2 linked regions of the Ovis aries genome follow. The protein of the gene in region 2 purifies or fractionates together with the protein of the main gene of each other region. This does not show direct contact. Links are inferred from orthologs where the notes say so. Each region holds a gene or a part of one and is shown on either strand. Other genes may lie near its edges.

Region 1 (3,653 bases), on a different chromosome or scaffold from region 2:
ATCTCCTCCGTAGGCACAGAGACCCTCACAGCGGGAATCCATTCACACCAGTCACCCTTGGAGACTGCTATTTATGCTAACGAAATTTATCCCACTCCATTGTATGTTTCTTGTCCGGAGCGCTCTGGGATCCCTTGTTTACGGCCTTCGCCCATATTGTGAGCAGGGGAATGGACAGGCCATTTGAGAGGGCAGGGGTGGCTAATGATGGGTCTGTTAGCTCTGCAGTCAGGCTCTCCTTTGTGAACCAAACCCAATTTGGGTGCATTTGCTTAAAAAAAAAAAACAAAAGCAAAACCCCATTTGGGGTTGAAGAAATGTTAGTTGTGTTCCATTCCTTTTAGTAGGGGTTAAAAAAAAAAAAAAACAGTAGAAGAAACTCAAAACTTTATAATATTTATTTATAATCCATCCTTTAGGTTGAAATATGCATCCAATTATCTCAGGTATGGGTGCACATGCCGCAGCTGTAGCGCCTTAAGATAGACTCTTAAAAAAAAAATTGGGGGCCTTTCATCACTACAGAGATGCTAATTTTTATCTCCAGGAAAGTAAGAGAAGCCCCTTCTGAAATGTTTTCTTTTGAGGCAGAACTTAAACGTATGCCACTGCTTTCATGAATCCTGTGAGCCAAATCCTTATAAATCCTTTGAGTTGACAGATCAATTATTCCTTCTAACAGCTAATGAACTAATAACCTTTGGAAATTTCTCCTTCCCTGGGTTTAAAGTAAAAAAAAAAAAAAATCTTTAAGGGGAAAAAATAATCAGTTAAAGACTACATAACAATAAAAACAAATTCATAATAATAGCTTTTTAAAGAAAGCTCTATTTTGTTTGAGAGCTATGATTTTTTAAATTAAAAATACATCAAATAATCTTGTGTTTTAGAAATATAATAAATTTTATTTTTAAAAATGCCTTAATCTCACATAGTGTCAAGAGAATTGACAAAAGGGTAGGAAAAAAACAGAAAAGGAGAAAGAGACAGTCAAGAGACATCAGACAGTCCAGAGACATCAATAAGCCAGGTGGGGTTAATAGACCCGGCTCTGTAGAAGGCACCGCCCGAGGTGGGCTCTCTGGGAACCAGGAGGGGGAAAGGACACACACATAAACACCGGAGAGAAAGGAGAAGGCAGAGGAAGCAGGAAGATACCCTGGTCATTAGGACTGTGAACACAGGAAGCCTATACGGAACATCGTGTAGACAGAAGGGGTCTTGGGGTGGTATGGGTAGAAGCTGGCAGGTAGCGCAAGCTGGACATTCAAGGGGTTGAACCCCAGGGGGACACTGAAGGCCAGAGCAAGTGGCAGAAGGGGAGCTGGAAGAGAGGGAATGCATGTGGGCCCTAGAGTGTGCGCTGATCCCAAGAATGAGATGTGCCTGCCTGGTGAGCAGGGCAGAGAGGCATCGACCCTATCTTATGACAGAAGGCCAAGGATTTTCATAGATGAGAAAACTGAAGCCCTGGGAAGTTGAGTAAACGACTTGCTCAAGGTCCTAGGGCATCAGTCTCACACACACACATACATACTTGTGTGCTAAGTTGCTCAGTCGTGTCCGACTCTTTGTGAGCCCCATGGACTGTAGCCCGCCAGGTTCCTCTGTCCATGGGGATTTTCCAGGCAAGAATGCTGAAGTAGGTTGCCATGCTCTCCTCCAGGGGATCTTCCCAACCCAGAGACTGAACCCAGGTCTCACGCATTGCAGGTGGAGTCTTTTTCCCACAACATTAACAATTCTGGAGAAGATGTCCCAAAAGCGTACCTTCCAGGGAGCATCACACAGCTCTTGCTCTGTAAGCTCCGGGTACGTGATGTGACATGGTGTAGACAGAGGGGAGCTTCGGGGTCAGAAGACGTAGCTTGGAATACACAGCTCCACTGTTCTCCAGCCCCATCTGCCCTATCTGTAAAATGGGGGGAATCATAATCACACCTCAAATCGTGGGCAGGAAACAGTGAAATAACACTGACCTGCTGGAATCCACTCACAAGACCTGGCGAGGGCCCCAGGACCCAACTATAAGCCCATGGCCCTGTTCCGGAAAAGCCACCTGAGTAGTGACACAGCGTCCCATGCTTAGAAGTCTTACACTGCCGCCATCATGACAGTCTTAATAATTTCTAAACAACGGGCCCTGCATTTTCATTTCTCACTGGACCTCACAAATTACATAGTTCGTCTTGGGTAATGCTCCGTGGCTCAAATGAGATGAGTCTTGGAGAAGACGTCCATCTTTGGCAAGCAACTCTCATGTGGGCGTCCCTGGTGGCTCAGATGGTAAAGAATCTGCCTGCAATGCAGGAGACTGGGGTCTGATCCCTGGGTCAGGAAGATCCCCTGGAGAATGGAATGGCTACCCATTCCAGTATTCTTGCCTGGAGAACCCCATGGACAGAGAAGCCTGCTGGCTATAGTACACGGCTGCCGCCTGCCAGGCTTCCCTATCCACAGGGTTGCAAAAGAATTGGATGCACCTAATGCATTTTTCCCATGTAAGCTGCAAGTCTGAAGTGGAAACAAGTTAGTTTCTCAGCTGCTCAGCATCTGAACCCTTTTTTTCCTCTTTAACAAGGGAGGAATTCTTAGCTATATGAGTCTTAGTAGGAGGCAAGACCAGAAGGGCCAAACACTGGCAACCCCCTGCCTCCCCACAAGCACCAGCACAAAGCCAGACAACAGTGGTTCTCTAGGGACATCAGAGGCAGCCCTCTCCTGGCTACAGCCTCTGCTGGTCAGCACCAGTGGGGTTAGCGGATGGTGGGCCCGGAGAGCATCCAGTAGTCATGGCAATAAGAAGTCCTATGAGACGGTTCTGTGATGGGGTTGTGGAGATGACCCAGCCACCTGTGGTTTTCTCCCCACGTTCTAGTTTGATTCTACAGCCTTCTCCATGAGTGATTTTTCAAACCACTCAATATCCTTCTAACACCTTTCTTCTGTACTTCAGTAATTGCCGCGGCCAGCACAAGCAAGAGTCGCACCTGCACAGGGAGAGAACGGAGCGTCCCCGCTAAGAAAAATAAGAGAGAGACAAAAGATGGGGTTGAGAGGATCAGCCCAAAATGGCTGATACCTTGCTTTATTGTACTGCAGTATATATAGGATAAAGTACGTGACTTATGACATTCACAAGGTTGTTTTTAATCTCAGGATACAATCACCAGTTGTGTACAGAGAATCACCAGACCCTTACCATTGTATACATAATAAGATAATCTATCTTCTAGGACATGTTGCAGGAACTGGACATCCTGGAGTCTTAAGGGCTATACAAATTCTTGAGGGTGGCGGGACAGGGAGCTTAGGAACATGTCCTAGGGCTCTGCATATATGCTGAGGAGCTCCCAAGACTTAACCCTTCACGGGCAGTCCCCCGCAAGTAATCAGGGATGCTTTCTGTTCATAGCCAAGACCTTGTTCTGATATAAAGCTGGACTGTGTTACGGAGCCTGATTCTCCTTCAGCTGACAGACAGCAAAGAAGTCCTCTGTCTCGAGGGAGAACCTGTTGGGCCATGAGCCCCTGGTGGTGACTGGAGTGCTGGTGCCTGCCCACGTGGAAGTGGACCTGGCAGGTCACATGGTCCACACTCCTTCTGAAAGTGGGACTCCGTCCAGAATGATTTGGGTCAAAATAAGATGCAG
Region 2 (3,653 bases):
AAGTTCAGTCCCTGGTCCAGGAGCTAAGATCCCAGAAGCCCCAGGGTGTGGAAAAATATAAAAAAGGAGAACACAAGAGAATAGTCTCCTTTCTTTAATGTCACTTTATCAATGATCACTTAGAGAAGTTAGCAGTTATACTTATGTGACTCTGAAATTAATCTCTAAATGGAGAATGTATTTCATAGTAAAACTGCATTACTTGAATAATTAAAAAGTGAAAAAGCCAAATTCATAAAATCTGGGGAAGACATCTGACTTTCAGATCCTCCTTAAAATGAAAAACTTTGAGGTTAGTTAGTAGTATTTACCTATGCAAATTTCCTGGATATAAATACAAAAGGAAATAGTAAACAACCACTAAATTCAATGGCAGAGGGAAAAAAATCAAGACAACGGGATGGTAGATCTTCACTTACTTAAGTGTCTTCATAATCTATTTAGCCTCTGTGCCCTCAGAACTCTTAAAAAAGGTGGAGCAGGTGTTCAGTAAGGTCCCTTCACATAGTAAAATGTTATTTTTCTAAGTAATTTTAGAATAATTTACTATTTTAAACGTTGCAAAAATTAACCTAGTGTTTTATGAGATTTTTTTTTCTGAAACAGGAAGTTACATGATATATAATGAAGAAAATGTCCTTAACTTTACAGTAGATGACATGGTGTTCAGAGAACTAGAAAATGTCAAAAGTTAGCTTTGGAAAGTCACCAAATGCACCCATGCCTGCAAAGATAACTTTAGTACCTAGGCTGATCTGCAGTTTGTGAGGCCTCGGCACATCACCAGATCAGTATCTTGATAAATAACAAGCTTCCTAAAAAGCAAGTTTAAACCCCAAAGCAGTAGGCAAGGTAAGTGGGAAGTGAGTTGGCAACACAACTCACCTACAAGCTCTCCAATCATGAAAAGCAAGTAAAGAACGGCAGCAATGGTCAATCTGGTTTTCACCTTTCTCTGCTTCAACAACTCTCTCTGCTTGCTGCAGTTGTCACAGGGGTCCGCCTTCAAACTCAGCTGACTGTTGGCCAAGGGTAAGTCCTGGTCCAGCAAGGAGTCATCGTCGGCCTGGAGGGCCGTGTGCGCCCCGTTAGCAGGCCTTTCTGGGGCTTCGGAACCATCGTCGGCCACCACAACTCGAAGTTTGTTAAACCGAGAAAGCCCCTCGTCGACCACCTCGTCCGAGAAGTCAAAGGCGCTGGTGTCATTTAAGAACAGCGGCGCATCATCCTTCCGCAGCATTGATTTGAGGCGCTTCCACACGCCGGATCCGGCCATAGCACTGGCTGAGCGGCCGCGGCGCCGAGCGGCTGGGTGCAGGCGGGCGGCCGGCGACTCCTACTTCACTCGAAAGCCAGTTCCCAGTGGCACTGCGGCGCGTCCCTCCTCATTCTGTGGGAAACGAAGCACATTATAAATTAAAGGCAGCCCGACAGAGCCCACAAGTTCCGAAGCCCGGGGCGGCGGGGGGCGCCGGAGCTCCGAAAGGGGGCAGCGCTCTACCTGGGGTGCCGCTGCCGGGCCGCCGCTCATCTCCCCGCCCCGGCCGGCTCCGCGGGGCCGGCTCGCGCATCTCGGCCCGGGGCCGCGAAGGAGCGGGGCGGTCCTCGAGCCTGCAGCGCCCGCAGCTCCAGGCCGGGTTCCCGAGTCTGACAGGTTCGGGGCCGGGCGCCCGCGGCCGCCGCCTCTCCCCGCCCTGCGCGAAGCCGCGCGCGTGCGCTGGAGCGGCCGCGGACGAGCCGCGCCAGGGAGGGGTGGGCGCGAGGACACGCAGGCCTGGCGCGCCGGGCAGAGGCTCACACGAGGGGCGGGGCAGGGCAGGGGCGCGCGCCGCGTCGCCCGCCCCTCACCCGGCTCTCCACTTCTCGAGGCCGCGAGGTCGGAGAGAGCTGGAATCCTCGGGCTAAGTGGGTAGATTTCTACGGTCCCGCCCACCCGAGGTTGGGCGTTGCTGCAGGCAGTTCGCTCCGCTGAAGGACGGCCTAGAGAATCTTTGATTGAGATCTTGGTTTCGGATGCTTGGCGACAGGAAAATGTAACCCTTTCTTGCTAAATTGAGCAGCTTTTCTGCCATTAGAGTTGCTGCCTGTCTGGCAGGTTAGCAAAGTTTGCTGCACAGTCAGATCAGCTTGGAGAGGGCAAGGCTTGTGGTCGTAAACAGTTCAGTGTCCTGCTTTATATTTACTGTTGTTTATCAGCAAATATGTATTATCTGTGTGTTCCCTATCAGGTTCCTTTTGCCGCCAAGGTATTTACAGTACGGACTAAACCCAAGCACAGGAACTATATATAGTGCGGTGAGTCCCCTACATACCAACCTTCAAGTTGTGACCGGTCAAAGATGTGAACTTTTAAAGATGCGAACATGCTTTCCATGCTTTCCCGCCGTCTAATCACATAGGTTAGTTCACGCGTCTGGCATACATTATCATATATGTGCATGCTCTAGAAGTGGTTGTGCTTCTGTGTACTTTACTGTACAATACTATATATAGTGCTACAGTATCTTTATTTTAAGCTCAAGATGTCCGGAAGCAAGTTTAAAAGCAGCCATGATGTAGCTGGTATATAGTACTACCCAGACATCACTGGATTTTTTTTTTTTTTTCAAGAATGTAGATAGACTTGAATCCAGCAAGGAATCAGAACCTGTGCCATTAATGTCAGGTGTGAGTGAAATTTGCCCTCCATCTCCTGATGCTGACAATCCTTCAGCACTATCAGCTCCCACCTCCTCTCCCTCCAGTCAGTAACTCTTCTTGCCAACTCCTCACTCAGTGCCAACCCCTCACTCAGTGCCAACCCCTGTATGCCAGCTGTTGTACTGTACTACTGTACTTTTAAAGGTACTATGAGATTAAAAATGTTTATTTTTGTGTTTGTTTTTATGCATTATTTGTGTAAAAAGTATTATGAAGTATTATAAACCTATTTCAGTACAGTACTATAGAGCCCATTGTGTTAGTTAGGTACCTAGGCTAACTTTGTTGGAACAAATTGGACTTGCAGACATGCTCCCAGAATGGAATTCGTTTGTAAGTGGCAAACTTACTGTAAAAGAATCTGTACTGGCTGTTGATTCTATTTAACAACATGGTTTAAAAAGAATTAAGTTTTTATTAGTAGCTTCTAATTTAGATCTAATTTTAATGACAAAATGAAATGACAATAAGCCCCACCTTCTGCTTCTCTGGCGATTCTCCAGGTGAGTCTTAGGGGATTTGGAGGCCTTAAAACTACATGCAAAATTTTGTGGGTATATGAATTTTCTTGAGTAAGTCTGTTAGCCTTCATCATATTCTCAAATGAGTTTCAGACTAAAATAAGATTAAAACAACAGCACTGTTAGGAGAACTCACAGATCAAGACCCTAGCTTCTACTTGGACTTGAATTGTAGTGCAAACTCCCATTAATCCAGTGTTTATAAATGTATTTTAACAACAATCTATATGAATTACCACATTTTAAGTTACAGAAAATACAATAAAAAGTCATATAAACATCATTTTCCTCTGAAGATCCAGATGACATTTTAGAATCTTGCATGTCTCAGGTGCAACTCACCTTTGAATGCCCACGATATTCCTATAGAACTACAGTCATGGGAGTCAGATTAGGAAAACTGGATTAGCGATCCCCTAGTTCCCTAGACCC

Evidence for each region. The genes of interacting proteins can lie anywhere in the genome.
Region 1: the proteins of SLC30A4 (region 2) and STX8 purify together in Homo sapiens (co-immunoprecipitation; 3 studies listed by BioGRID and IntAct, with this or other methods). This does not show direct contact. The link is inferred for Ovis aries from reciprocal best matches to the Homo sapiens genes SLC30A4 and STX8.

Annotation. Positions count from the first base shown.
Region 1 is NC_056064.1:28,533,532-28,537,184, forward strand, and holds part of STX8 (syntaxin-8), read right to left. Parts: intron 1,913-3,653; coding exon 1,771-1,912; intron 1-1,770. UniProt on the Homo sapiens protein: Vesicle trafficking protein that functions in the early secretory pathway, possibly by mediating retrograde transport from cis-Golgi membranes to the ER.
Region 2 is NC_056060.1:63,085,668-63,089,320, reverse strand, and holds part of SLC30A4 (probable proton-coupled zinc antiporter SLC30A4), read right to left. Parts: intron 1,650-3,653; exon of another isoform or gene 1,502-1,649; intron 1,391-1,501; 5' UTR 1,277-1,390; coding exon 886-1,276; intron 1-885. UniProt on the Homo sapiens protein: Probable proton-coupled zinc ion antiporter mediating zinc import from cytoplasm potentially into the endocytic compartment. Controls zinc deposition in milk.